Tamandua tetradactyla: one gene and its partners. The protein of the gene in region 1 purifies or fractionates together with the protein of each later gene. This does not show direct contact. Links are inferred from orthologs where the notes say so. Each region holds a gene or a part of one and is shown in the gene's direction. Other genes may lie near its edges.

The links.
Region 2: the proteins of NFKB1 (region 1) and NFKBIB purify together in Homo sapiens (affinity purification with mass spectrometry; 7 studies listed by BioGRID and IntAct, counting the BioPlex papers as one, with this or other methods). This does not show direct contact. The link is inferred for Tamandua tetradactyla from reciprocal best matches to the Homo sapiens genes NFKB1 and NFKBIB.
Region 3: the proteins of NFKB1 (region 1) and SP1 purify together in Homo sapiens (affinity purification with western blotting, with the first as the bait; 3 studies listed by BioGRID). This does not show direct contact. The link is inferred for Tamandua tetradactyla from reciprocal best matches to the Homo sapiens genes NFKB1 and SP1.
Region 4: the proteins of NFKB1 (region 1) and NFKBIE purify together in Homo sapiens (affinity purification with mass spectrometry; 4 studies listed by BioGRID and IntAct, with this or other methods). This does not show direct contact. The link is inferred for Tamandua tetradactyla from reciprocal best matches to the Homo sapiens genes NFKB1 and NFKBIE.

The regions. Positions count from the first base shown.
Region 1 is NC_135350.1:21,621,236-21,628,248, reverse strand, and holds the start of NFKB1 (nuclear factor NF-kappa-B p105 subunit), read left to right. Parts: upstream 1-3,998; 5' UTR 3,999-4,015; intron 4,016-4,341; exon of another isoform or gene 4,342-4,493; intron 4,494-7,013.
Region 2 is NC_135342.1:25,108,059-25,115,397, reverse strand, and holds the start of NFKBIB (NF-kappa-B inhibitor beta), read left to right. Parts: upstream 1-4,332; 5' UTR 4,333-4,453; coding exon 4,454-4,632; intron 4,633-7,339. Other genes in the region: SIRT2 (NAD-dependent protein deacetylase sirtuin-2), read right to left, coding at 1-31, 3,985-4,218. UniProt on the Homo sapiens protein: Inhibits NF-kappa-B by complexing with and trapping it in the cytoplasm.
Region 3 is NC_135333.1:114,748,259-114,755,472, forward strand, and holds the start of SP1 (transcription factor Sp1), read left to right. Parts: upstream 1-4,202; 5' UTR 4,203-4,309; coding exon 4,310-4,316; exon of another isoform or gene 4,317-4,341; intron 4,342-4,573; exon of another isoform or gene 4,574-4,698; intron 4,699-5,365; coding exon 5,366-5,514; intron 5,515-5,823; coding exon 5,824-7,214. UniProt on the Homo sapiens protein: Transcription factor that can activate or repress transcription in response to physiological and pathological stimuli.
Region 4 is NC_135331.1:101,876,885-101,884,046, reverse strand, and holds the start of NFKBIE (NF-kappa-B inhibitor epsilon), read left to right. Parts: upstream 1-4,145; 5' UTR 4,146-4,160; coding exon 4,161-4,528; intron 4,529-6,799; coding exon 6,800-6,902; intron 6,903-7,162. UniProt on the Homo sapiens protein: Sequesters NF-kappa-B transcription factor complexes in the cytoplasm, thereby inhibiting their activity. Sequestered complexes include NFKB1-RELA (p50-p65) and NFKB1-REL (p50-c-Rel) complexes.

The DNA.
Region 1 (7,013 bases):
TGCCATGTACAGAGTAAGAAAACTTAGTAAAAATTCATTTTCTTTTCTTAACCCATTCCCACTACTGTGAGAGTTTCTTCCCAGGGCAACTCTTACTTCACCAACCTCTAGGAGTTCTATTTTTGCTTCTAATGCTTTTCTCCAGGGAAAATCATTAAAAATGTAATAGCTGTGAAGTCTGGGAAATAGAAGCAAGACAAACCTGGCAAACAGACAATCAGGAATAACGTGATTCTCTCTGAGCAAGGTTTCAGAGTAACAACATATGATTATCCTAGTTGCCACAAGGCCAGATCAGTGTTACATTTTAAAGGCTTTCCTTCTTATCCCTAACTGGACTCTTTCTCTGTGCTCCTACTCAGAGAGATGCTCACTATATGAGTATCAATGTTTTAAATCACAAATTAGAGTAGTTTAGAAAAGAGACCCTTCATTAATTTTTTAAGTGGCCTCATGAGTTATACTCGTTAGGACTTGAAAATACACTGATTCAAAGCCTTACTATTTATCTTTTCCTATAAAATTCTATCTTATCTGTGTGTAACAATTTTATTAGCAACACACATCAAAATATTAGCATGGATTCTTGGGTAAAGCCTCCCTTATTTTTGCACCTTATCAAGAAGATGAACAAATAGTGAATCACACATGGTTTGGAATGACTCAAAGTCCTAAAGAATAGACTTGGTAATTGTTATATATAATTTCCCAGGAAAACTTGCACAAGTTTGTGAATTTGGTGGATTTTAAAAAATCCACCATTCAAAGGGGAAATTTCAAGCTAGAAGGGATACATAGAGATAACACAATCCAATGTTTTTACACAACATGAGACAACGTAAAGAATTCAATCAAGTATATTTATATATTTTTTAAATTTAAGGATTATTTTGAAATATTCATAGCTATAGTCAAAGAAATTTAAATATATAATGAGAATTTTAAAGATTTGGTTTCGATGTCTTCCTTCTTTTACTTTTAATTTAAAATGTTATAGTGCTAAACATGAGTCATGTAAGCTACAAATTGCATTCAGCCACATTTTGTTACTTGCTATTGTTCTGGCTCAGCTTCGCACACATTTATAATATGCTTAAAAAGAGATAATACTAACATCTATATACCTAGTAGTTTAGAAAGGGAAGAAAATGTTTAGAGCAGAAGAAGTATTTTAAAAAGCAAGTGGGAAAATGAAAATGAAATACTGCAACACATCCATTCTTGTGACAATATGAAATGCAGGTAAAACTTCTTATGTCAGTTAAATATTAAAAATAGAGAGATAAAAAGTACTTCTATGTTTGTGTATAACAATAAGGAAATTTAAAAGATATTTTTCATGGACTTTAGGAAACAAATTAGATGTTCATAATATGCTTTTTCCCAACTCTCCATTAAAATGTCCATGAACATAGATCTTTTTAAAAATGGCAATAGTTGCAGAAGATCTTATGACAAATTAGGAATGGGATTTTCTCAAAAACCAGTTGCAATGCAGAAAGATAGGGTATATAACAAATTCTCCCACCCTCTGAACCAAAACCAGTCCATCCCAAAGGAAATGGGAATATATTTCAACACACCTTCTACTTCATTCTTCAATTAACTTCACCTATCTTGACTATGTGATAGGTAACAGAATATATGGACATTTCCCAAATCCATAAAAAGAGAGTTGTCTAATGCCCTCCACTTCCAAATCAGAAGTGAGAAAGTGGACATAAAACACACATAATTAAGGCAAAATGTATTCGTATATTCGATGTATAATTTCTGTAAAAAGACTCTTTCCATTTTCAAATTATCAGTGTATTTATCTCTTTTACTCTTTTCAGACACATGATTTTCATCTTAGTTTTCTCTAAATAACTATTTGTCTGGATTACAAATGAAATTGCAAAGGGAAAGACTAGGGTATTATCGGGTTTTTTTCACCCTAAAATAGGATTTTGCAACAAGGCAACAAAAAGCCTTGCATGTCAGTTCAGACATGTATATAATCTATATATATAATATAAATCCTGGGGATTTATTATAAGGAATTGGCGCACATAACTGCAGGCATACTTCAAACTGGAAACTCTGATAAAGGTGATACTGGAGTCTTTAGTCCAAATTCACCAGGGGAGGCTGAAATTGAGTCCAAATTCCTCTTCTAATCTCTGATATCTTGGCTTTTAAGACCTCCAACTGATCGTATGAGAAGACTCCCCACTTTGCTGAGAGCAATTGCCTTTGTTGATCTTGGAGGCAATCAAAGGATTATATCCACAAAGCCGATCTACAAAATAACCTTCACAGAAGCAAAAAGGACAGTGCTTGACCAGACCACTGGATACCATATCCTAGGCAAGTTCCCACATGAAATCAACCATCACAAAGTATTAGAGTTGAAGAAGGAAAGTTCTGCTTTCTTAAGAATGCTTGACCACATCACACAAATGTTAATAAGAAGTGTAGTACATTTGAATTTTAGTCACCAACTCAAATGCATCAGAAATACAATCCAGTTTATTTCCCTACAAATCAACTTTAAAAAATCTATTACAAGTCCTCATTCCATCAGAGGTCAGTCAATTTGGGGCTCTCTTCTCCCCTTTCACTGGGGTGGCTTATGTGGGGCCAAGGTGAGACACAGGACATCTGCTTCTCATTCGGTCAGCCACATAGGCACTGACCGGCTGAGACATTCATCGTTCAGACTGGTCCTCACCCCTTGTATGTCATCAACCCAGACAAGGTGAGACTGAGATGTACTAGTTCCTGTGGCAATGGCCCCTTCATCTCTGGCAGCTCCCAGCACTTCTCCCACGCCATGCTTAAAGAGAACAAGGACCACTGGGCTGCCTCACACCATCCTAAATCATTGGCACTCTGGGCACAGTGTTTACCTCTTTAGGCAGATGCCTTTTCCCAGAGCTCTGATTCTGAGACAAAGCATAAAGTTCTCTAAAGGGAACTCCTGTGATGACGTCTCCTCCATTTGTCCTCATTCTCTTTCCTATCTGAGAAATATTTTTCTATTGTCTGAGTAGAAGATACCTATTCTTCCAAACTATTAGAGTTCAAACAGTTTATCTATACTTCACATAGCCCTAAAGACTCTGATCTTTACAAAGGCAAATTACATACAATTACAAAATAATAATTCACAATAAGTTATAAATTTATTTATAATAAAATAATTTAATTAATGCTCATATAGGACAGAATTTTAACAAGAACATTTAGTCAAAATAAGAATGATACTTGTGGGCGGTGCAAAAGTGGCTCCGTGGCAAGAACTCTTGCCTGCTGAGCTAGAGACCAGGGTTCCATTCCCAGAGCCTGCCCATGAAACAAACAAACAAAAAAGTTATGGTTAAAATTAGTGCATGCAATTCACTGGAACAAGGTAAAAATACATACAATATTCTAGACAAGTCTTCTATATGAAGTTAGATAAAGCGTGGGGGTAAAGCAGCAAGTGAAAATATTAAACTTCTGAGTAAACGGGAGACTGCAAGGATATAAAAGGGAGGCATACCCAATGCTAATCACTGCACTGCACTACTAGTTAATTGAACAGTTTTAAAGAGTATATCATTCAATATATGTTAAAACTAGAGAATTTTTAAATATCCACCTTTAAAATATCTCTATTTCTGAAACATCCTATTTTGGGATTCATGCAACAGTATATGAAACGTGAAGTTATCATTTAGATAAAAACATTTTCAAGGGAAAAAAGATCTGTAACATCTATCACCATCAGCCTTAAATGCATTTCCACCATGATCTATCAATTTAAAATATGGAACGCTTCACAAATTTGCGTGTCATCCTTGCGCAGGGGCCATGCTGATCTACTCTGTATTGTTCCCCGAAATAAATTAACACGGTCTTTTTCCCCTCTCGGCCTAGCCCAGGCTTGTCAGAGCCTAAAATCCACCCCAGGCATCCGCCGGCGTCTCTGCTTTGTGTACTGAGTTTGATTTGCCATCAAGTCCCAGTTTGGGAGACGCCCTCGCACCAGGTACGTCTGGTGTGTCTCAGGATTTTCAGTTTGCTTTTGGGGGCGGGAGGGAAGGGGCGCGCGTGTCCCGCCTAGAAGGCGGCTGGGTGTGCTGGAGGCAAGTGCTGCCGGGCCAGAGCGCAGTCGGAGGGCTCCGAGATCGGATTACGGGACTGCAGGACCAGGGGCGCAAGAGTGGGCCCGGGGCTCGCAGGGCTGGGTGCGTCCTCCGGTGCCGGGGTCGCTGGCACTCCCTCCTCCACCGTCAGGATCTGGCAGAAGATGAGAGTGAGCGCAGGAAGAGGAGTGTTTTGGCAGGGTTCCAACCCTGGGCTGGCAGCTGGCGCCGAACCACCGGAGGGCAGAGGCGCCTGCGGTTGCGCTGCCTGTATCCACGAGGGGCGCTGGGGCCCGTGACGGGGCGAGCGCGGGCTCTGCGCGAGGGTCAGAGGAAAAGATTTCCGCTCCCGAGTGCTGCCCGGGTGGTCCCAGGCGTCCGGTAAGGCTGATGGTCATGGTGGGGAGGGAGCTCCGGAAGCGACACGTGGAGCGCTGAGCGGAGGAGTCGGCGAAGTCTGTATGCTATTTATTTTTAAAGGAAGTACAGTCCATTTCACTTCCAAAGATTATACACTATTAACTCACCATTATATTATTCTCATTCTTTGAAACCTTATTTATTCTTTTCTGCTTGAACTATTTTGTTGGAATCTTTTCACTGTAAATAATAGAAACAGAATTCAAACTAGCATAGCACATTAAAAGAACTAGTTTGTTAATATAACTGGATTTCTAAAATGTAACTGCTTCAGGAAAGGCTGGATCTAGGGAATCAAATGATGCCATTGGTACTGTCTTACTTTCTCCATCTCTTAGTTTATTTGCTTCAATTTTCATTTCTCAGGCCTGGAATTCCAGGTTTATATGGTTCTTACATGCACTCACAGAAGTAGACTCCCCTTCTCCCAGGGTGCGTGCCTATCAGGACTTGATAGTTTACTAAATTACCTACCCCAGGAACTAAGGCTCTGGGGTTAGAAGGAGACGCCACTTTGATTGGTCAGCTCAGGTCATACGCTATCTTAGGTCCGATGCCACAGAAGCAGATCTTGAGCCAAGGATTCAGTCGAGAGTGATTTATTAAGGACATGTTCTCAGAAGAAATCATTAAGGATATGGGGAAATCAGGATAGAGAAGGAAAGTAGCCAAGCTGTTTCCAAAGCCTCATACGGAATCTGTGGAGTGCAAATTACACTTCCGAGTTTGTCCCTCTGCCAGAGAAGCTGAGGTAGGGAGAGATTACAGGACCGTAAAACTCCCAGTCGCTTTGAGCTGTCCTCAAAGTCAAGCTATCCAGTGCCCAAGGGTCAGCGTCTGAAGGGCTTAGGTACAAACCGTCAGTGGCAGAGCACACAAAAGGTGCATATGGGTTCATAGAACTGGTAAAAAAGGGTTCCGAATAAATCTGAGTGGGACACCAACAGTGCTAACTGTGCCCAGTTCTGTGGTGAACGAACAACCTCCTGATTGGACACCACCAAAACATTCTCATGGCTTGGGGAAGGGGCAGTTCCCAGATGAAAGGATGTGGGGCAAAAAATAGTAACTGGCCACTCTGTCTTTCAGAGCCTGGGATCAGGCTGTTAAAGATTCCTGTGAGGATAGCATTTTTCTACATTTATCATGTTCTCCTAATAATTTTGGCATAATATGTTGATCCTACTTTATTCAATGTATAAAGGTTGTCACAACTTTTTTGTTGTGAGTAACATTCATGACAAAAAGGACTTTTTTTAATTATTATTATTATTTTTTGACGTGAGCAGGTGCCGGGAATCAAACCCGGGTCCTCTGGCATGGCAGGCAAGCAGTCTTGCCTGCTGAGCCACCGTGGCCTGCCCAGGACCTTCTTTTTAACTATTTATTGTTTTGACCCTTATATCTATTCTGTCAAATCAATTCTTCTATCTCTTCTTTTAAAATTTGACTTACAAATTTTTATTTATTCTCTTTTAAACTTTGCGTTCTGTTGTTTTGTTTCAGGTTTATGTCTTGTCTTGAAAGCAGCACACAGACTGCTTTTTAAACCTTATTTGGTAAAATTTTATCATTTTAATTGGGGAGTAAAACTAATTTATATTTATTATCACAACCAGTGTTTGGTCTTGTACTATCTTGGGTTATGCTTTCTGGTTTTGTTTTGTTTTTTTTAATGACTTTTATGCCGCTTCCTCTGTTTCTGTCATTTGTTGTTTTGGTTGATTTTATCTTCTGTAGATTTGGAAGATTGCAAGGCTGTTTTAAGTTCTCTTGGTACCCTTAAAGGTTTAGAAATCATTCTTTTCTGTTTTTCATTTTCACATAATACTAAGAAATATTTCCCCATGTTTTTACTTTCTCTCAATTCACATTCTTCTCACTAATTCGTTGTCTTTATTCATATTATCTGAACACTTATGCCCATGTTATAGTTATTTGGTTTTATATATAATTTTACAGTATTCTTTTTTAAAAACAATTTCTGACATTTGTGTTCTTTTTTATAATCAAAACTTGAAACAATTATTAGACCTACTTCTATGTTTGACTTTGTTCAATGTATACTATAATTGCTTTCATAGCATAACTTTTCCATGCTTTAGTTTATTTTATTAACTTCACAGTCAGCTGAAATACTCTTCAAAATAATTTTTTACTAAAAAGCATGGTTAATGATGAATTTTCTGAGCCCTTATCTGTAAAAAAAAATGTCTTCCTGTTACTTTGAGATGAACAAAAACACGATTGGATATAGAATTCTTGAGTCAGTTTTTCCCTTTCTTTATATAAAAGATTCTGTTTTAAGCTGACATTTAGTAATGTGAAGGAAGATTTTCAAGTCTGCCTGATTTTTGTTTCATAGTAACATGTTTTATTTCGAAAAGATTATTTTAGAATTATTTTTTCTTGTCCTTGAAATTTAAAGCCTTTGCCAAAATACGCTTTTATTTCCATTAATTTTATTTATAATGTATGTCT
Region 2 (7,339 bases), on another chromosome or scaffold:
TCGCTCCTTCTTCAGTGTCTGAACCTGACTCCTGGAAGGGGTGGGATGAGGTGGCCAGGCCAAGAGGAGGGTCAGGGAAGGAGACAGGAGGGTAGGGGTGACATCCAGGTTTGGGGAGAAGCTCTGGCTGGGGAGGTGGTCCTCAGGAGGTGAGGGGTGATGCAAGGACAGTGCTGGGGTCAGCATGCAGGCTCTGGGTGGGAAACCTGACCCTGTAGCTCCCTAGTGTATAACTGTGGGCCAGTGGCGTCACGTTTCTGGGTCTCCGTGTGTCTTGTCTCTGAAATGGAGCCCGCCTCAGTGTGGCCAAAAAGAGGGTATGAGCTGACATGGGTGAGGGGCTTAGACCAGCATCCTGGGGGTTAACTGCTTGGGAAATGCTTTGTGGTCATCACCTGCCCCGGTCCTTGCCTCTGTCCTATGTCTGGCCTTCAAGTCAACCTCACCAAAGTCACAGGCCTGTCCTCACCCTGCTGGCCCTGTCACCCTCCTCCTTGAAGCCCTAGATAGCCTCCACTTCTGACCCTTCCCTCTCCTTTATTGACCCCTCCCCTCAGCTCCCAAATAGCTGATCTTTGAGACTCCATCCTGGGCCCTCTTTGCTTTCTTTTCCCCTGCCCACCCCACCCCCATCCCCAGACCACCGCTCTCACCCACACCCATGGCCTAAGCTTAGACACTGAGGACGCCCACCTCTTTGTCTTCAGATCCGGGGGTGCCCTGTGGCCTCCTGGACGCCTGTCTCTGGGTGACCCCCAGGGCCATCACTCCCATGTGTCCCAAACTAGCCTCCGTGTTTCCCCCAAGTCTGTTCCTCCTTTCGAGCCCCTTCTCAGGGCAGCCTCACCGGCCCCCAGGCTCCCCACTAGAATCCTGAGCCTCATCCTGAATGCCTCCCATGCCCTTGCTTTCCCATCACAGCTCATCAGCCCTGCAGATGTCCACTCAGGCTGAATACCCTCCAGCTGCTCCCCCTGTCCTTTCCCATCCAGGCCCTGCCCTGGCCTCCTTCCTGGGCTCTGGGGCTGATTCTCTGCCTCCCATCTACCCTCTCCTTCACAGGCCCTTCGTTGTTTCTCCAGTCTAAGCATCCAACCATGAACAGCTATGGAGTACCCACGATGTTAGCTCCAGGAGAGCAGGGACTTGTCTGCTGTGTTCATCCCTGAATCCCCAGCTCCTGGAACAGGGTCTGGCCTAGCAGAAGCTCTAGAACCATCCACCATTGGACGGGTTGCCTGCGGTCTATTAGCTCAGGGATGGGTTGTGGTCTGACTACCTCACTCTCCTGTTAAAAACCTATCGGACCATTCTCCCCTCCCCCCAACTCACTACCCTGGTTCTGAGCCTTTTTAATAGGACACCCCCACCCCCGTCCAACCATATTTTTACATTTTTATTGTTTTTTAAGATTACACAAGGTTGGCAAAAACATTGAACATTAGAAAATGCACAACTTGGGGTACTGCTTCTCACCCATTGTCCACCAAGATAACTATTAAGCTTCTAATATGAATTGCTCCAGATTTTTTCTCTGTAAATAAAACCTCATTATCTCTACTTTTCTGATATGAGGATAGCACCTTCTTTGGAATGAGAAATCTCCTAATTGCTCAGAACATGTCCCCCTCAACTAATGCCCACCTGTTCAATGACGACCCTACTTGTGCAGGACTGGTTACCTGGGCAGTTGTGAATATCCAGAAGTTCTGCCGATCAGTGTCTCTAGTCTTACCCCGTTAAAAAAATTCATAAGACTTGACCCCTTTCCCCCTCAAATGAATGTATTGGTGGTTAAAAACAAAACAAAAAAACAAAAACCTAATTATCTTCACAGAAATGGGTCCCACCCAGGCAGGCTGCTGCACTCTGCAGTTTTTCACAGAATTAACTCCTGCAGACCCACCTCGTTGGGTTAAGCAGCCATATAGGATTGCATTGTGTGGGTGTGCCAGCCTTCACTTAACCCATCCACTGACAGCCCTTTGGGCCATGTCCAGTTTTGCCCTATTCTAGACAACACTGCAATTTACATCCTTGTGTCTCTCTCTCTGGCACTGAGGGTCCCTTCTTAATAGTAAACCTTTTTCTCTGAGCCACAAGTGACAGTAGCCACACTCTGGAGCTAGGCGATGGAGAAACCCTGGCTTGACAGGAAGCTCTTCTACCCTCACTATCCCTCTGTTGGGCCTTCGTGAGGAACTGTGACACGGCCTCTGCACCGACCTACATCTGAAAAGCATTGGTAGCAGGCTGGGCTCCTTCAGGCTGTAGACAATGAGGCTCTGTGGGAGGATGGCAGGCCCTGTCCAGCTCGTGGGGCAGCCCTGCCTGCAGAGGAGGTGGAGGTGCTGGCTGACGCCCATAAGCTTCTGGAAGGCTGCCCTGACCACCTCCTGCTTAGCACCTATGAGGCAGGGGGCCGGGTGTCTTAGGTTTGGCGTCCCTATTCCTCTAGCCAAGGGATAGGGGACAAGTCGCTTTAACAACTCTCCCTCAAAATGGCAATGACAGGCCTTCCCCCCACAGGGATGTTGGGAAGATTAAATAAGACGATGTACCCAAAACACTAAGCAGAATATCTGCGACAGAGTAAGTACCCAATAAAAAAAATTTTTTTTTTTTTTTTACCATTCCCAGCCATCAAGCTACCCAATACTTTTCTGCCTCCAGGCTTTCCCTCTGCCTGGAACACCATTTCTCATCTTGTCCAGGAAAATTCCAAGTCACTCCTCACTTATTATATTGTGTCGATAACTCAGTCTTACCTAGATCCGTCTGTGGATTTCTCCAAGGAGGGGCCTGGGTGGTTTCTTCTGTGACCCCACAAAGTATATTCTGGCCCCCACAGCACCCTGAGCTACCTCCACAGTCACCCTGGAGGGTTGGTTTCTATCAGGGACCAAATCCCATGCTTGTCTCTTCTGGGCCCAGCACGAATGAGGTTCAGAAGGATTGGTGGGGAGGGGACAGAAAAGAGGTAAGCTTGGAAGGGCAGGCCTGGGACTGAGGCAGTATACCCTTCTTTGGCAGGCCCCACAATCTACCATCCCCCAGGACGCTGCACCTTGGGGTGGGACGAGGGATTGGGGCAGTGAGCTGAGAGCCTAGTGTGGGATAGTGGGAACAAATCCATCTCTCTCCTTCCCTCCAGTCCACCCTTTCCCCCCATCTCACCTGAGCCTCCTGCACCTTCCCTGTCTGGGTCTCCAGAGGGTCAGAGGCTGGGGGAGGAGGGGGAGCAGACGTGGTTACAGTGGAGGGAATGGTTAAGGTGGAATGAAAGGGTTCAAAGTGGGAGTGGGGGCTAGGAAGACCTAATTATACTAGTGAGGGGAGTGGTAAAAACCGAATAGAGGTAGGGAAGGGAAAAGCAGATCTTAAGGAGAAGCTGGAGAGGGGAAGGGTTTGGAGGAGAGAGAGGAGAAAGGAAGGGATAAAGGGTTTGGAGGAAGTCTCAGGAGTAGTTAGGAAAGCATAATAGTGTGTGTAGGGGCAGAGGGAAGTTTAGAAAGGAGGAGAGGAGATAGGAAGGGATACCCTGCTGGGAGCCGGGTTTGGAAGAGGAGGTGCCGGGATAGGGATGGGTGGTTGGTGGCAAGTTAAGGAGAGGCACAGGTACTTGAGGCAAGAGATAGAAGGGGACACCAGGGGATCCCCTGGCATCCTACAACCAGGTACCCTTAGCAACCAGGACGGCGGCAACCCACGTCCTTAGTAACGAGGGTCTTTAGCAACCGAAGTGCGAGAAACATGCGATTATTAGCAATTTGGGGCACTAGGCAAATGGGCCCTTAAAACTCTCGCGACCCAGACACTCATTAATCAAACACCACGGATCACTTAGCAACGGCCCCTCAAATCCCACTGCCCCCACGCTGCCCGATCTCCTGCCCCACCGCGCCTGCTCTCGGGCCCCGGGGCCTGCAGCCTGCTGTCAGGCCCCGACGCGGCCCGATCCTCCCACCCGGGCCCCTGACTCACGGTCCGGCTCGGCCATGGGCGCGGGACCGGGGCCCTCGGGGCTGTCACCGACCTCTCTGCCCCGTGACGGCACCGGAAACGGGAGGGGCAGTGAGGAGGCAAAGGACTACAACTCCCAGAAGCCACGACCACCGCATACGAGTGATTAGCACAACGCCGCGAGCGTTTCTCTTCGGATAAGGGAGATGAGAGGGCCGGACTACAAGTTCCAGAGGGCCTGGCGTCGGCAGCCATGTTGGTAAAGGGCGCCCGGAAAATGTGGGAATGGGTCGAAAGCTGTAGTACAATAGGACGTTCTGATTGGTCTTGGAGCGGAATGGGGCGGGGAGAGAGAGCTTTGACCCACTCTGATTGGGCAAAGTAGGGGGAGTGTTGGGGAATTCCCCGCAGGGCGGAAGGGTTAGGATCCAGGCAGAGCCCAGCAGTAGCCTGGCTGGGTGCCGCGGGGGACTCCGGAGGCTGCGGGGCTATGGCCGGGGTCGCGTGCCTGGGGAAAGCTGCAGACGCGGATGAGTGGTGTGACAGTGGTCTGGGCTCACTGGGCCCGGACGCAGCAGCCCCCGGAGGACCAGGGTTGGGTCCGGAGTTGGGCCCGGGGCTGTCGTGGGCTCCCCTCGTCTTCGGCTACGTCACTGAAGATGGGGACACGTGAGTGAATCTTAGACTCCCAAGTCTAGCCCAAAGATCAGTTTAACCTGATTCTCCTATGGTGTCTGATCCCGGCTCCCTAACCTCTTACCACTAAATCTGACCTCTAAGCCTTGACTTCCTGACCTCTAACCCCCAAGTCCTAACCTTTGATAACATCAATCTCTTACTCAACTTTGATTCTAACACATTTCTGACTCTCCTTTCTTGAATCTGATTCTCAGCTCCTGGAATCCACATCCCTTCCCATTGATCTGAAAACCGGATTTGAACGTTTTGACTCCAGTCCTGAGACGTTTGTTAGAACTCTGACTCCAGCTCCTCCTGATCTCCAACCTCCAAGATGATCTTTGATCCTTAGCTGGTGACTTATGAGCCTTATACTTTGATTTCTGAAAGTAATATTTGGCCTCTGTTTCTAAGATCCTGCCTTCTGAGCACTAATTTCAAATCTTACATTTAAAGAGAGAATATAGGGTCCCTGAGAACACGGATTCATCCCTTCAACAATTATTCATTGAACTGTTTGTTTTAGGCGCTGGAGTTAAAACAATGAAGACAATAGACAGATATATGACCTTGTGGAACATACATTCTAGTAGGGGTAGACAAATGGACAGAAGGAAAGACAGAAAGGAGAGAAAGAAAGACAGGAAGTAAGAGGCAGAGAGAGAAAAAGAAAGAGAGAGAGAGAGAGAGAGAGAAATGAAACAAATAGCAGGGAAGAAGAGCATTCCAGCAGAAGGAACCACAAGGGAGTGTACCTAGGGATTTTTGTCTGTTACATTTATTGCTTCCCCAGTGACCCAAACAATGCCTGATACTTGGTGGGCACTTCATAAATATTGATCTTATCAAAGAATCAGCTCTTGGTTTCATTAATTTTCTCTATTGTTTTAATGCTCTTTTGTTGATTTCTGTTCTCATTATTATTATTCTATTGGCTTACTTTGGATTTAATCAGCTCTTTTTCTAGTTTCTTAAAATATAAGCTGAGGCCATTGATTTGAGACTTTTCTTCTTTGCTATTATGGGCATATAACACTATATATTTCCTCCTATGTATTGCTTTAGCAAGATCTCACAAATTCTGATATGTTGTGTTCTCATTTTTATTCAATATTCTTTCTAGTTTCTCTTGATATCCTCTTTCACCCATGGATTATTTAAAAGTATGCCATTTCGTTTCCAAACATTTGGGAGATTTTCCAGCTATCTTTCTCATTTTTATTCAATATTCTTTCTAGTTTCTCTTGATATCCTCTTTCACCCATGGATTATTTAAAAGTATGTCATTTCGTTTCCAAACATTTGGGAGATTTTCCAGCTATCTTTCTCTTGAGTTTTTTTAATTCCATGTAGGCAGAGAATATATTTAGCATGAATTAAATCCTTTAAAATTTGTTGAGACTCAGAATGGCCCAGAATATGGTCTAGCTTGGTAATTGTTGTGTATGCACTTGAGAAGAATGTGTACATTGTGTTGTTACTGGGTGAAGTGTTCTCTAAATGTCAGTTAGGCCAAATTGGTTTATAGGGTTGTTGAAGTCGACTAATCCTTGCTAGTTTTCTGTCCACTCAGTCTACCAGTTATAGAGAGAGGAATATTGAATCCCCAAGTATAATTGGGCCTTTGTCTATTTCTTCTTTTAGTTTTCTCAGTTTTTGCTTTGTGTATTTTGAAGTTCTGTTATTAGGGGAACAAAGATTTAGATTGTTAAGTCTTCTTGTCTAATTGACCCCTTTACCATTATAAAATTACCTTCTTTAGCCTTGTAATAGTCTCTGCTTTGAAATCTACTTTGATATTAAATATTTATTTCAACTTTCTTTTGACTAGTGTAGCATGGAATATCTTTTTCATCATTTTATTTTTAACTTATTTGTGTCTTTATATTTAAAGGGCATTTCTTGTAGGCAACATATAGTTGGGTTTTGCTTTTTTATTCAATCTGACAATTCTGCCTTTTAATTAAGGTGTTTAAACACTTTAAATTTAATGTAAACTGTTGATATGGTTATGTTCAAATTGATCATCTTTCTGTTTCGTCCCACCGGTTCTATGTTTCCTGTTCCCTCTTTTTTCTGCTTTCTTCTGGAATACCTGAGTATTTTGTAACTCAACTTTATTTCCTTTGTTGGCTTTTTAGCTATAACTTTTTGTTGTTGTTGTTGTTATTTTAGTGGTTGCTTTAAGGCAGGGGATGCCATACTATGACCCGTAAGCAAAATCCAGCCAGCCTCCTGTATGGCTGTAAGCTAAGAATGGTTTTTACATTTTTTGTTGTTGTTTTCTGTTTTGTTTTTTTGGCATGGGCAAGCACCGGGAATCGGACCTGGGTTTCAGCATGGCAGGCAAGAACTCTGCCACTGCACCAGCATGGCCTGCCTGTTTTTCACATTTTTAAATGGCTAAAAAATATTCAGATATTTTGTGACGAGTGAAAATGATATGAAATTCAAATTTCAGTGTCTATCAATAAAGTTTTATTGGAACATAGCCATGCTCACTGATTTACATTTTATTTATAGCTGCCTTTGTGTCACAACAGCAGAGTTGAATAGTCAGGATAGAGACCATGTGGTTCAGAGAGCCTCAAATATTTGCTATCTGGACCGTTACAGAAAGTTTGCTGGGCAGGCCACGGTGGCTTAGCAGGCAGAGTTCTCGCCTGCCATGCCGGAGACCCAGGTTTGATTCCCTGTG
Region 3 (7,214 bases), on another chromosome or scaffold:
AGAATGTCAGAATTCTCACCTGGCTTGCTGGAGATACGGATTTGATTCCCGGTGCCTGTCCATGCAAAAAAAAAAAAAAACCCTACAAAGATATTTAATTAAAGTTATGGGTTTACAGAACAATCATGCATAAAATTCAGGATTCCACATACCATCTTAGTATTAACGCCTTGCACTGGTGTACATTTACTACAATTGATGAAGACATTTTATAATTGTACTATTTTTATAATTGTACTATTAATTATTGTCCATGTTTAACTTAGGGTTCACTAATTGCGTTGTGCAGTTCATCTGTGTATTTTAATTTGTAAAATACTCCTAGTTATAAGATAGCTAAATGGGTAACTGACCAAAGCTGAAGAGTGGCTTCAAAATCAGGAAGAATGATTTAACCTGCTGTGTAAGACAATCAAATGAAGGCTGAGAATCAATTCTTAGCACTGTGATCATCTGGAAATCTTTTCAGGATGGTGGGGACTAGGTTTCACCTTTCACTAAGTGTTTGTGTCAACTACATGCTAGATAGAGAGTATACAAAATGAAAAGCTATCATCCCTACTCTCAAATTACCTACTCTATTTGAGGAAGACTAGGGTCTTAACAGATAACTCTCATGGAGGTATGTAAAAACAAAACAAAAATGCATAATGGACAAATGTTCATACCAGGGGAGGTAGGAAAGAGCTCACAGGAATCCTTCTTATCAAAGTTAAGAATAACAATTTGTTTGACAGCCCAGAAGGTCTGGACTTTGGAGACAACCCCCCCCCAAAAAAAAAAAACCCTATGGTTTTGGGTGAAACTTCAACAAATACTAAGTACCATGAACAGTAGTGGATGATGAGCCTAAATAATGAATAAGTGCAGTACAGACCATACTGCATACAGGAATGCCACCATTTTTCCCATGTGAGGCTTACTACACAGCCAGGCACAGTCTGTTCATAAGAGTGGTTCTGAAGTAAAACAATCCTCAAATGATCCACATTGCTTCAAAAAAACTTTTTTTTAAATTTTCCACATTGCTTTTTAAAAACAGGAGTAACTTCAATGATGTCACAGATGGTTGCATAGACTGACACTGATGGGTGAAGGATTTGAGAAGTCTTGAAATAAACGTATTCATTCAATTGGGGGGGGGGTTGTGGGGACTAAATCTAAAGAAAATTCACAGGAGAATAGATCATAGTTCATTAGCTCTCAGGTTCTCTCAGTAAGGAAGGATATGACCAGGACAAGCCTCACTGGCTAGGCACTGAATTCTGTGTTGTCCTAGAAGGAACAAAGGGAAAGGATTGTAAAAAGGAAGGTGGCTATTGTATTTCTGGATCAAAATCTAGGCCTTTTCCTCAGAACCTGGGATAAAATTAGAGCCTACTTCTCATTTCAGGCATAGACCAGCATAGAACCACGGAAAAAAACAGACTTTGAAGCTGAACAGAACAGTCACAATTAACTAAAGGATCTGAGCCTTAGTATTCTCATCTGTAAAAAAGGATGATAATCTCTTCAATCGGTGAAAGGATTAAGCTCGACAATATAAATGTTAGTTTCTTTCCCCCGCCCTAGACAGCTTAGGTGTGGCCCTTTGCTGAATATGCCAAACAGCTGTTTAGAATCTCCAGAGCATGGTTTACAAGATTGAGTAATGCTGGTTTTTCCCTCCAGGAAGTTTCTTCCTTCCAGTTTCTTCCCTTACTATTTACCAAACTCTGGTTTAGGAACTAATTACTTGAAAAAGCCACTTAAAAATTCATGTTCTCAAACCTTTCTCGGCTCCCGTGCGTTATCGTGGGCACCAGGCACTGCCTTGACGGGAAGAAGCACTCCGGCGAGTTCGCGGAGCTGTATGTGCCGCGGCAACGCTCCGCCAGCAGCTTCACCATTGGCACCAAGGACCACACTCCCGTCCAGATCAATGGGACCGAGCTGCACAAGGTCACAGGCAGGTTCAGCAGCCAGTTTAAAACTTACAGTCTGCGAGGAAATTCGCAGGATGAGGAAGTCAGATGACACCATTCCTGGACTGGCCAAGGCTGAAGGCATCACTTTAGAGAACTTCCTATTGAACAGTCATGGATGTGGAATATTTGTAATACAAAGTAACCACCTCCCCACCCCCACCCCACACTCCTCTCCCAATCATATTCTGAAGACCCATTCTACCCTCTAACCCACATTTACTAGGTCTAGGGTGGGGTCTAGGAACCTGATTAAGAAATACCCCATAGGATTCTGATATAGACTAGTCTTTGGAAACTTTAATCCAGGGAAAGATGCAAGGAATTGTACGTAATGTGATGAGTTTTATAATAAAGGTGTACAAAGAAGATTGAGCTGTGCAGGCAGTATGGGCAGAAATTTTCTTTTCAGGAGGTAGAAGGTAGCAATAAAAGTTTTTAAAACAGTTTTTTAATTAAGCCCATTTATATAAACAGTAATACAAGGAACTGTGAATAAATTTCTGTGGATTACTCTGGGTTGGAATCTGGCACCTACAAACTTATTTTTGTGACCTTGGCCAAGTTACCCCAATTTTTTCCCCTGTAAAATACATAATAATGTCCCAAATACTTAAGTTCTATCTTCCTTATAAGAATTACTTAAGAAATGCAAAGTCCTAATGGACCTAGGTATCTAATACAGCAGGCACTCCACAATCATTTTCTCTCTTCCAGCCCCTGTCCAAATCAGCAGCGGCCTCACTTCCTACCTTCAAAGGGCTTAACATCTTTTAGGAGAATCCAGACTTTAAAACATGACAGCATATAATGAAGTGCTGTAATGCAGATAATAAAGTGACAACATACAAGATACAAGTACTAAAAGAATAACTTCATGTCATTTACAAGCCACCCAGGCCTTCTCCACCAAAACTAGGGTAAAGGGGATGCAAAATGGAGGACAGAATTCAGGTGACTTGTGCAAAATCTTCTTTCATCACTGTGGTTATAAAAAGCAGTAACTCGGCTATCTTGCTTTATGTTTCGGCGATATTTACAATTAAGGGCGGGGGTGCGGGTATCGGAGAAGCAGTTCAGGACTTGGAGTACGGAAGATTCCCTAACGCGCTTTAGCCTGAAAGACAAGCTCTTGAAAACTAAACCGGTCATTAAGAAACTAGTGCCTTTGTCGGATAATTTAATGAAATGGCGTTCGCTGGACTCTCTTGCAAAATTGGTCATTTAAGTGTTAACTACTTTTGCAAGCGCTGACGCCAAATTTCGTGATGCCTGCACTCAGAGGGCTTACACCCACACTCTAAGGCATTCGTCCGCCAGGGGAGGAATGAGACGTCAGCGTTGCCTTTTAAAGGCTGTTAAATAAGGACTCAAACGAGCCAGAGTGGATGGGTGGAAATTCGCGCCAAAAGCGACTTCTTAGTCCTGGGCCTGACACCTGTGGAGTTGGAAAGCTCGGTTTAAGCATACTACCTAATAACTAAAGACGTCTCCTGGGAGGGCCAATATGGCGACGGTCTTCTCCTGGCACAGCCCAGTCCCCTCCCACCATGGGCGGCTCTAAGTAACGCCCATTAGTCAATATGAGGGAGGTGTCTGGATTACCTAGCCCCCTCGTTGGGCCGAATGACTGAGCGAGACGCCAATTCTCCCTTGGCCACTCCAAGTTCCCGCCCTCAGAGCTCATTAGGCGGGTAATTGGCTTTTCGTCCACGTCAATATGAGTCCTAACCTGTCTCTTTTCAGATTTTACCCAATCATAACTTTCCTGACTGCCCGCCTGATATCTGATTGGTTTTAATCTGCTTCATCCTATCCCATTCCTGCCTACTTCTTACTTCTCCTCCCCAGGACTTTGCCCAGGCACGTCCAAGATTCTGGTTGGTCGTTGGTCTGTCACTCCTATCAAAGTTCTCCCTATACCTACCTCTCAGGGAGCCCGCCTGGCCGTTGACTGGTTTCCCTGAAAGCCCGTCATGTCTAGCTCCTGCCCACTTTCACTTCCTGCATTTTTCATTGGTTTTTAAAATTTTGAAGGCGGTCTTTTTGGGCGGACACCAGGTACGCAACTCTGCATTACACGCCCTAGAGCGCAAGCGAGCCTTGCCATTGGATAATCTGCCCGCCTTTCTTCTGCAAGTCCCTCCTTTCCCCCTCCCTCATTGGGCGGGGCAGCAGCGAAGGGGCGGAGCCTAGGCCGGGCTTGTGGCGCGCTGCTCCCTCCTCCTTAACCCCCCCTCCCTGTCCGGTCTAGGTTCGCTTGCCTCGTCAGCGTCCGCGTTTTTCCTGGCCCCCCCCAACCCCCCCGGACAGGACCCCCTTGAGCTCGTCCCTCAGCTGCCACCATGAGCGGTAAGGATGAGTCCACTCCGAGCTTAGGGGTGGGAGGGGAGTAAGGGGGCGCGCGCAAGGACCGACCGGGCGGTCCCCGCCGTGAGGGGGGGCGGGCGGGAGGCGGCGGCGGCGGCCTTGGTCCCGCCCGGGGCGGAGGGAAGGGAGGGAGAAGGGGCAGTGGCGGGGCCTCCGAGGAGGAGGGGGATGGGCCGCCCGCCCCGGGGGAGGGGGCAGCGTGGCCTCGCCCGCCCCCTGCCCGCCCCGGCCACGGGGGACGGGCCTTACCCCCCACTACTCGTCCGCCTGCCTGAGGCTCCTCCTGTGTGGGGCTGGAGCCGCGGGGGCGGCCCGAGTGCTGCAGGCCCCGCCCGGGCCAACCGCCTCCCTGGTTCGCCCTCTGGTCACCGCCTGCCCCAAGGCCCTCCCTCCCCTTCCCCTACATTTCCCCTCCCCCCACCGGCCCGCCCTTTCCACGCCCCTCACCCCGAAACCGCCCTTTCCCTCTAGGACCCGCCCTCTTCCCGCCCCGAAACCTCCTGATATCTAACCCCAGACCCCTTTTACCGGTTTACTGTATTCGCGGGTTTCCCCATCGCACACATTTTTTACCTTTTCTTTACCGGTTTCTCCTTCTCTTCTCTTGCTACTTTATACATTCGTATTTTTCCTCCATTTTCTTTAACCATAATTTTAGCAAGCTTCCCATCCACCCACATGTTGTTTTTTGCCTTGCCTCTCCTTCTCCTTTTTTTCTCCCGCATACTTTTTCTTATTTTAAAACTTTCAACATGCCCACAGTCCCTCATAGTTCCAATCCCAAAAGCATATTTTGAATGTTTTCAGAGTTTAATTTTGTGCAAAGAAAAATTGAGGCCCAGTTCTGGCACCACTAAGCTTATTCACAGTCTACAGTTTTCTCCCTCAGTCCACTTTCTTTACCTTGGCGTCCTTCACCTTTCTCTTAGTTATTTCTGTTTCATCATAGCCTCCTTTGTCACTTTACCCTTTCTCACTTTACCTTGTTTCTTCCCTTAACTTTAAGTTGTTTGCCTTTTCGTTCTTTTTAGACCAAGATCACTCCATGGATGAAATGACAGCCGTGGTGAAGATTGAAAAAGGAGTTGGTGGCAACAATGGGGGCAGTGGTAATGGTGGTGGTGCCTTTTCTCAGGCTCGCAGCAGCAGCACTGGCAGTAGCAGCAGTGGAGGAGGGCAAGTAAGTGATAGTGGGACACAATGAAAGAAGGTATTGAGGGGATGTAAGTGCTTCTAGATAATTGCCTTACTCTTTGCAGAATAAAATTTAGGAAGAAACAGAACTGTTTTTCAGGTGGGGAAGTAAGCACAGAGAGACGACTACCTTGGAGATCTTCAAAGACAGGAATTTCAGCAATATAGATAGGCTGGCTTTTTGTTTCTGTTTTTGCTCATGTGTCTGCACTATTTTGCTCTATGTTATGTACTTCCCCCTGGGTTGGTAGCTTGTTATCACTAACTCCTTTCCTTTTCTATATTTTCTGGCTAGGAATCCCAGCCATCCCCTTTGGCCCTGTTGGCAGCAACATGCAGCAGAATTGAGTCACCCAATGAGAACAGCAATAACTCCCAGGGGCCAGGCCAGGCTGGGGGCACAGGTGAGCTGGACCTTACAGCCACACAACTCTCACAGGGTGCCAATGGCTGGCAGATCATCTCTTCCTCCTCTGGGGCTACTCCTACCTCAAAGGAACAAAGTGGTAGCAGTACCAGTGGCAGCAACGGCAGTGAGTCTTCCAAGAATCGCACAGTCTCTGGTGGGCAGTATGTTGTGGCTGCTACACCCAATTTACAGAACCAGCAAGTCCTGACAGGACTACCTGGGGTGATGCCCAACATTCAGTATCAAGTAATTCCACAGTTCCAGACTGTTGATGGGCAACAGCTGCAATTTGCTGCCACTGGGGCCCAAGTGCAGCAGGATGGTTCTGGTCAAATACAGATCATACCAGGTGCAAGCCAACAAATCATCACAAATCGAGGAAGTGGAGGCAACATTATTGCTGCTATGCCAAACCTCCTCCAGCAGGCTGTCCCCCTTCAGGGCCTAGCTAATAATGTGCTCTCAGGACAGGCTCAGTATGTGGCCAATGTACCAGTGGCCCTGAATGGGAACATCACCTTGCTACCTGTCAATAGCGTTTCTGCAGCTACCTTGACTCCCAGCTCTCAGGCAGTCACGATCAGCAGCTCTGGGTCCCAAGAGAGCAGCTCACAGCCTGTCACTTCAGGGACTGCCATCAGTTCTGCCAACTTGGTATCATCGCAAGCCAGTTCCAGTTCCTTTTTCACCAATGCCAATAGCTACTCAACAACTACTACCACCAGCAACATGGGAATTATGAACTTTACCACCAGTGGATCAGCAGGGACCAACTCTCAAGGTCAGACACCTCAAAGGATCAGTGGGCTACAGGGATCTGATGCTTTGAACATCCAGCAGAACCAGACATCTGGAGGCTCACTGCAAGCAAGTCAACAGAAAGAGGGGGAGCAAAACCAGCAGACACAGCAACAACAGATTCTTATCCAGCCTCAGCTAGTTCAAGGAGGACAGGCCCTCCAGGCCCTTCAAGCTGCACCATTGTCAGGGCAGACCTTTACAACTCAAGCTATCTCCCAGGAAACCCTCCAGAACCTCCAGCTTCAGGCTGTTCCAAACTCTGGTCCTATCATCATCCGGACACCAACAGTGGGGCCCAACGGACAGGTCAGTTGGCAAACTCTTCAGCTGCAGAACCTCCAAGTTCAGAACCCACAGGCCCAGACAATCACCTTGGCCCCAATGCAGGGTGTTTCCTTGGGACAGACCAGCAGCAGCAACACCACCCTTACACCCATTGCCTCAGCTGCCTCCATCCCTGCCGGCACAGTTACTGT
Region 4 (7,162 bases), on another chromosome or scaffold:
AACAGTATTGTAAATGATGGACCACAGCTAATAGTACAATTATAAAAATGTTTGTTCATGAGCTGTAATGAAGTACCACACTAATGCAAAGTATTAATATTAGGGTAGTATATGGGAACTCTGTATTTTATGCATGATTTTCCTGTAAACCTACAACTTCTCTTAAAAAAAACAAAGTCCATAGGGATATTTGGGGGTAGGAAGTTAGTGTCAGGCAAAGCGTGTATATCTGATCTTTGGGGGGAGGGCCAATCACAGTGATCTGTCTGGGGTCATCGGATCCCTCATCTGGGGAAGAAGAGCCACTGCTCCCACCCCAGCCCCCTCCCCCCCCATGCCCCTGTCCTGCCTCCTTTTTTCTACTCTTCCCTTTCTAGGTGGAGGTGAGGGTGGCTTTCTGACTGCCTTGGCTTCAGAACTATCCAGCTTGACCCTCTCAAGATCAGTGAGTCCATCCCCCCTGCCTGAACAGAGAAGGGGTCGTGGTCCTGAAGAGGCGGGGTTCGTGTTCACCCCCATGGCAGAGGATGAATCTCACTCAACGACTCATTGCAATATCTCCCACCCATACTTTTTGGTAAGTTCTGCCTTACAGCTAACTCCAACTCCTCCTGTTCTGCTTCAGCTCATTCCACCTAGTTCACTCCTCACTGCAGAGGGCAGAGGTTCTAACCCTGGCCTTTCTCAGCCCACACCCCATTTAGTTGTTATAATCCTCCTCCTGCCCCCACTCCCACTGCCTTCTCATTTCCATTTCAAGGGGCTTCATAAGAGGGACAGCCTAACTCCTTCTGGCTAACCCGGTGCTCCCAAGAGACAAAAGATCACCCACTCTTCTACATTCACACACACTGAAGGTTCAAGGAAAAGAGGGGGAGGAAGGAGGGTGCTGTGGAAGAAGCCAGCTGACCAGCTGGTTACCATGGCAACTGGACTTTTTTCTTGAAGATGAGCCTGACTGGGGTGGGCAGAGGTGGGGATTTGGGGCATGACAAAGGGAACCGGGGAACACCAGAAGAGAGAAGAGGACTAGAGGGGCCTGGGCTCAGAGAAGAACAAGGATGAGGAGGTGAAATCAGAGTCCTGATCAAAATCAAAGTCCCTAGGCCATCCTTCCAGGTGACACTGCCTTGCTCCCTCTGCCCATTGCTACACTGTCCTCAGGAGGGTTTCCTGTCAAGAGTGCAGGCACTAGTGCTGGGGACAGTAGGTGACTCAATGCTGACCTCGTGTGGCCAGGAAAGGGGTTGTCATATGCCTGTCACATTTCATGGCTCAGGCCAGACACCTGGTGGGGTTCCTTAAATGTAGCCTCTGGGTGAAAGAGAGAAGCGGTCACTCTACACTCCTGAGTTCTTGTGTCCTTGCAGAGGGCTTAGATGTCTCCATTCCACTGATAAAGCAAAGAAGGTTTCACTGAAAAAAAATTTTTTAAGCTTTGCACTAGAAACAGGGAAAACTGGCTCTGCACTTTCTATTTGACCTTTGGCAAGTCAACTTGCCTCTCTGAGCCTCAGCTTCCTAACTGTATAATGGGGATAAGAATTTCAGACTTTGAACGGAGGCAGTCCAGGTAACATATATGTGTATATATAGATATAAAACATAAAATTTCTCATTTTAACCACATTCGAGTACACAATTCATTGGCATTAATTACATTTACGATGTTGTGTTACCAGCACCACTATCCATTACCACAACTTTTCCATCACCCCTACTACTGTACTCTTGAGGATGAGTATCAGCCTTTGAGGATGGGAGAGGAACATATCAGGAGACTGAGAACGTTTGAAGTCACACTTGCCCAAAGGGAAGGGGGTGACTCAGTTCCCTTGGGCTTTCCCACCCCAACATGTTATGATAAAAAGCTCTCCCTGGTGGCTGCTCAGTGCTTCATGCTCCACAAATGCTCCACAGAAGCCCTCCACTTTGGGTCTCCATGGGGATGGAGAACAGTGGGTCATCTTCTCCCCATAGCCCTCTGTGGTAGTTAGATTCAGGTGTCAACTTGGCTAGGTGAAGGTGCCTAGTTCTGTTGCTGTGGACATGAGCCAATGGCATGTGAACCTCATCTGTTGCTGATTACAATCTGCAGTCGGCTAGGAGGCGTGCCTGCTGCAATGAATGATGTTTGATTTAATTGGTTGGTGCTTAACTGAGAGAGCTCAATGTGGCACAGCCCAAACAACTCAGTATACCTCATCTCAGCACTCACAGCTAAACCCAGGCCTCTGGAGATGCAGAAAGGAATCACCCCGGGGAAAGTTGTTGGAACCCCAAAGGCCTGGAGAGAAGGTCAGCAGAGATTACCCTGTGCTTTCCCACGTAAGAAAGAACCTCAGTTGAAAGTTAGCTGCCTTTCCTCTGAAGAACTATACATTAACTAAATAAATTCCCTTTTATTGAAAGCCAATCTATCTCTGCTGTGTTGCATTCCGGCAGCTTGCAAACTAGAATACCCTCCCCCACTCTCCTCTCTTCATTTACCCCTCAGAGACTGGGTCTTTCTCCCTAGTCCTTCTCCCTTCCCACTCCCAGTGTGAATACACCTTCCCTGCTCCTTACCCTACTGCGTGGGCCTCCTCTGTGTGCCCTCACCACACTCTGTTCTTATCTTGTCTTAGCCCCAGAGCTCTGTGTGTATTTGCCAAGCAGCTTTTTAAAGATTGGCACCATGGGATGTTTGCTGCTGGTGGTGGTTGGTTATTAGTGTTACTGTGATACTTGGTTATACCTCCAGCAAAGGGAACAATGTTAGACATATAGAAGAAACTCATAGATGTTCGTCTCAAATGGATGAATGGGTGGATCAATGAAATGAGGTTGCACAGGGAAAAGCAGTGGGGAAACTGGTTTGTAGCTGTCTACACCCACCCCCCAATGTTGGAGATGGAAAAGGTAGATGTTCCCTTGGGATGACTCTCTAAGAGCATCGCTGGGCCCTAGGTTGCTGGTGTGTGGGGTGGGGGTGGAGGGAGAAGGGAAGAAAGGATAAACCATGGGGCACTGATTTGGGACTTACCATGTCCTGTCCTGCCTCCATTTCCTATTCTTCCCCTTCTAGGCAAGGTGAGGGTGGTTGGGGGTTCTCCTAAGGCCTCCCCTGGGCCCAGGGATGCAGACACAGGGAAAGAGGAAAGCTGTGCTGGGACTGTGGCTGTGGCAAGGACGTCAGCAGAATATATGTCTGCAGCTTCCTTTCCTGGTCCCACCACAAGGAACTGAACTTCCCTAACCATTCAGAGTAACTAGATGCTGCAACCACCCCAGGCCAGTGTTTCACCCCTGTGAAAAAGAAACTCATGGCCACACTCGGTTTTTTAGACACCATTCTACCCGAGAAAACCTGCTTTCCCAAAACGCATCCTCATGCCCAATTCTATGTGATCTGTGTGATTGGCACAGGAGACCCTTAGCCAAGACCCAAGGGGAGAAGTGCTCCTTTCAAGACTTTTTGGTGGTGGTGATGGTGTTTCCCCACCCAAACGCCTGGGCACTCATGCGGAAAGGTGAGAAAGCAAGAGAAATTGAGTGAAATAGGAAGCAATGATTGCCCGTCCCGCCACCCACCTGTCCCCCCCCCAAGACGTCCAGCTCATGCGGGCAATTAATAGATATTCCTTTAGAAACGAACACACAAAGAGGTGAATGAAATGAGTAAAGTGAGGGAACAATGAATATATGGAATTAGTGAATGGAACGAAGAAGGAAAAGAAAAAGAGTGAGTGAAAGAATGAATGGGCAAATTAACCAACCAACGGGTGAGTCAGGAACGGGTAACCCCAGACTCGAGCCAACTCAGAGGGCGGGGCGAGGGGGATTCCGTTGGGGCGGGGCCTCCGTCCGGAAGCGCCCGTCAGGGGTGGGGCCACCGGGAGCGCTGCACCCTCTCGCGGGGGTCCGAGGGGCGGAGCGCGAGAGGGAACCGAGCGGGGAAGCCCAGCTGCTCCAAGTATCCGCTGCGGTGGATTCGATCAGCGCTAGGATCCTCGTCCTCGCTTCTCGCCGACCCGCTGGGCTCCCTCAGTCCAGGTAGGAGGCCTCTCGGGGCCTGGCGCCCGCCCCGCGAGGCGAGCCCGCAACCCGGAAAGGCGGCGCGGCGGCGCCGGGAGCTGGATCCTGCTGGGTCCGGGCCCCCGCGGGCGGGCGCCGCGAGCATGTCCGAGGCGCGGAAGGGGCCAGACGAGGCGGACGAGAGCCAGTGCGACTCGGGCATCGAGTCTCTGCGTTCTCTCCGCTCGCTGCCCGAGCCCGCCCCCGCCGCGGGTCCCGGGTCCTCGGAAGGCGGCGGCCGCCAGCCCTGGACCCAGCCCCCGAGGACCGCCGAGGAGCCACAGGAGAAAGAAGACGCGGATGGGGAGCGGGCTGACTCCACCTATGGCTCCTCCTCGCTCACCGAACCCCTACCCTTGCTGGGGGGTCCCGAGGCCGAGAACCCGGCCACAGGCTTGCCGCTTCTCCCCGCGGGGGCGCTGAGCCCTCAGCAGCTGGAAGCCCTCACCTACATCTCCGAGGACGGAGACACGTGAGTACGGGGGGCGAGGCTGAGGTGGGACCCCTTTTCCTCCGGGAGCCCCAGCAAGCTGGACACCATGCTCTGAGGCTCGCGCTAACTACAAACTTAACTCTCAGTCCACTTTTGGGCTCTCGCTGAGCCCAGACTAGAGGGCCTGTCATCATTCCTCTACCTTCCCTTTCAGGGGTGCCCAGAGCCCGCAGGGCTCTTATGCAGGAGGCTAGTACCCCAGCCAGCAACCTACCAAATAACCTACCCTGAGGAAGAGAAAATTCCCCTGACCAGTCCAGTTGTTTTGTTTTGTTTTTTTTCTTGATGGATGGGGGCAGGCATCCTTGTTTGCTCAATATCTGGGATGCCCCACTCCTGCCAGCTACAGGTTGCCATTGGGGACTGGGAGGCTGGGAGAAGTGCTGGGCTGCAGAGCTGAGCTGTCTCTGAGGAGGAGAGCCAGACTGGGGCACCCTTTCTGCAGCAGACAGGCTGCTGGCTGCCCCAGCTTACTTCCTCTGCTGAGAAAGGGGAAGTGAGGGCTCGAGTCAGCCTCCTTCACCCACTCTACCTCCTGAGCCCCCAATCCTCCTCACTGTCCTGTCTGACCTCCTCACTTCACGTTTCCTCCCCTAGGCCCAGGTGGAGCTTGATGGGGACTGGGCCAGGTAGAATCATATGTGTGAGGTCTAGCCTGCTGAGGATTTACCCTTCAGAAAGTAGAAGACACTGACAGGATAAGGGGTGGCTGAGGTTTGGGAGTTAGAAACAAAGTTGGGGGTGGGGTGGGTAGGGGGAGCTGGGTTCCCAGATCAGGGCCGCTGGGATGAAGGGGAGGCAGGGATGTCTGCCCTGACCTGCTTTTTTGGAGGTGCAAGGGGCCTAATCCTGGGTAGCCTTTGGCAATGATGGCCTTTGGACCCGGTGCTTGGGAAAGTAGTGACTCCCGGTCTTTTTGCACTCTGTGCCTGGGTCACCAGCACTCAGGCCCAGAACTCCAAGATTTTGGAGGTGCTATGTAGGAGCACCTCCTATGGCTGGCCTTTGAGTCAGGGAGTGAGGGGGATTTCTGACCCTGGCCTCCCCTCTTTGCCTCTCAGCCCCAGCTTTTACCATCTCTAGTTAGAGTCAGGTGTTTGGATTCAGTGTGAATTGTAGAGCAGTGGGAGGCAGGACTTCCCAGGGGGTCCCCAGAGGGGAGAGGGCACTTTCCTCTCCCTGAGGTGCCTGGGGAGGAGCCACTTTCCTCCTTCCGAGGTATAGAAGTGGAAGAGGAAGTGGGAGGAGGGGAGAGTGCGGGAGAGAGGGAGGTGGCTCCAGGAATGTGACCCAGAGAGCAGGCCCTGGCCGAGGGGATTTCCAGAGTGGTTCCTCCCCTCCCCGTCACTCTCTCCTGGGTCTCCTGGGCCTCGCCTGCTGCCAAAGCCAGCCCCCTCCCTCCTGAGCAGCCCCTTCCCCAGCCCAGACAGGCCTTTTAGCCAAGCTGCCCCTTTCACTAATGCCCCAAGGCAGCTGTCCCACCCAGACCCTCGAGCTCCGGCTTTCATTTTCCTCACCTGATGTGGGGGAAACCCCATGGCTGGAACTTCCCCTCTCAGCTGCCCACCTCACCCCCAGGTTAAAGTTCTTGGCCCCCAGCACACACACATTTTCTACACTGCCCAGACCTCCCCTCAGAGATATTTGCAGGAGTTCAGAGCCCCTAGTCGAGCCCCACCTGGTCTGTCCTATCAGAGGAGTAGCCCTCTTGAACTTCTGTCTGAGGGCCGTATGATAGGATGCTTCACTCTCTCCTTGCTCCTCCTCCAAGCTTTGTTTTCTCTCCCTTGGAATGTGTAACATTGCATTGCTGGGGTGAGAGTGACCCCCTACCTCACCCACTTCTGTCCTCCGTTTTGGGGTGGGGGTAGGTGGGGAGCTCAACTTTGGAAACCCCCTCTGGGCTACCCCATCAGCTTTCAGTTTGGCTTTGAGCTACAGTTGATCTAGCTGGGCCGTTGAGGCAGAGAGGATGGGGTGTGGGCAGGGGACAGGAAGGCCCTTGTCCTGTTAGCACCCTGCCCACACTACCAGCCTGCAAGGTCCTCTTGAAGGCCAGACATGGCAACATGGAGCTCCCACTACAGCATCCTGACTTATCATCCCAACTCTCACTTCCTAGTCCAAACTCTCACTTTCTGTGCCAATCTTTTGGGTGGCTAATTAGTGGTTGTGTGTTCCTTCTAACCCTAGGATCCCAGCCTATCTTTTCTGGCCTGGGCCCTGACCTCAAGTCCCCCCTCCCCCCAGGCTGATCCACCTGGCAGTGATCCATGAAGCCCCAGCCGTGCTGCTCTGTTGCCTGGCTTTGCTGCCCCAGGAAGTCGTGGACATTCAGAACAACCTTTACCAGGTGGGCAGAGAGAGTGGGCTGTGCCCAAATACCCTATCTCCCCAGGTACCATCCCTAGCAGCCATTCAAGATTCTGTAGTGTGTTCAATCAGGAAACAGACACCAGACACTGGCCTAGAAGCCGAGGACAAAGAAACAAGTAAGACACAGCCCACAAGGTACTCGTAGACTGGAGTAGAGAACTCATGTAAACACCTAATTACATAGCTTAGTTGCAAGCTTTGTGATAGAGACGCATACCAGCTGCTGTGGGATCCAGT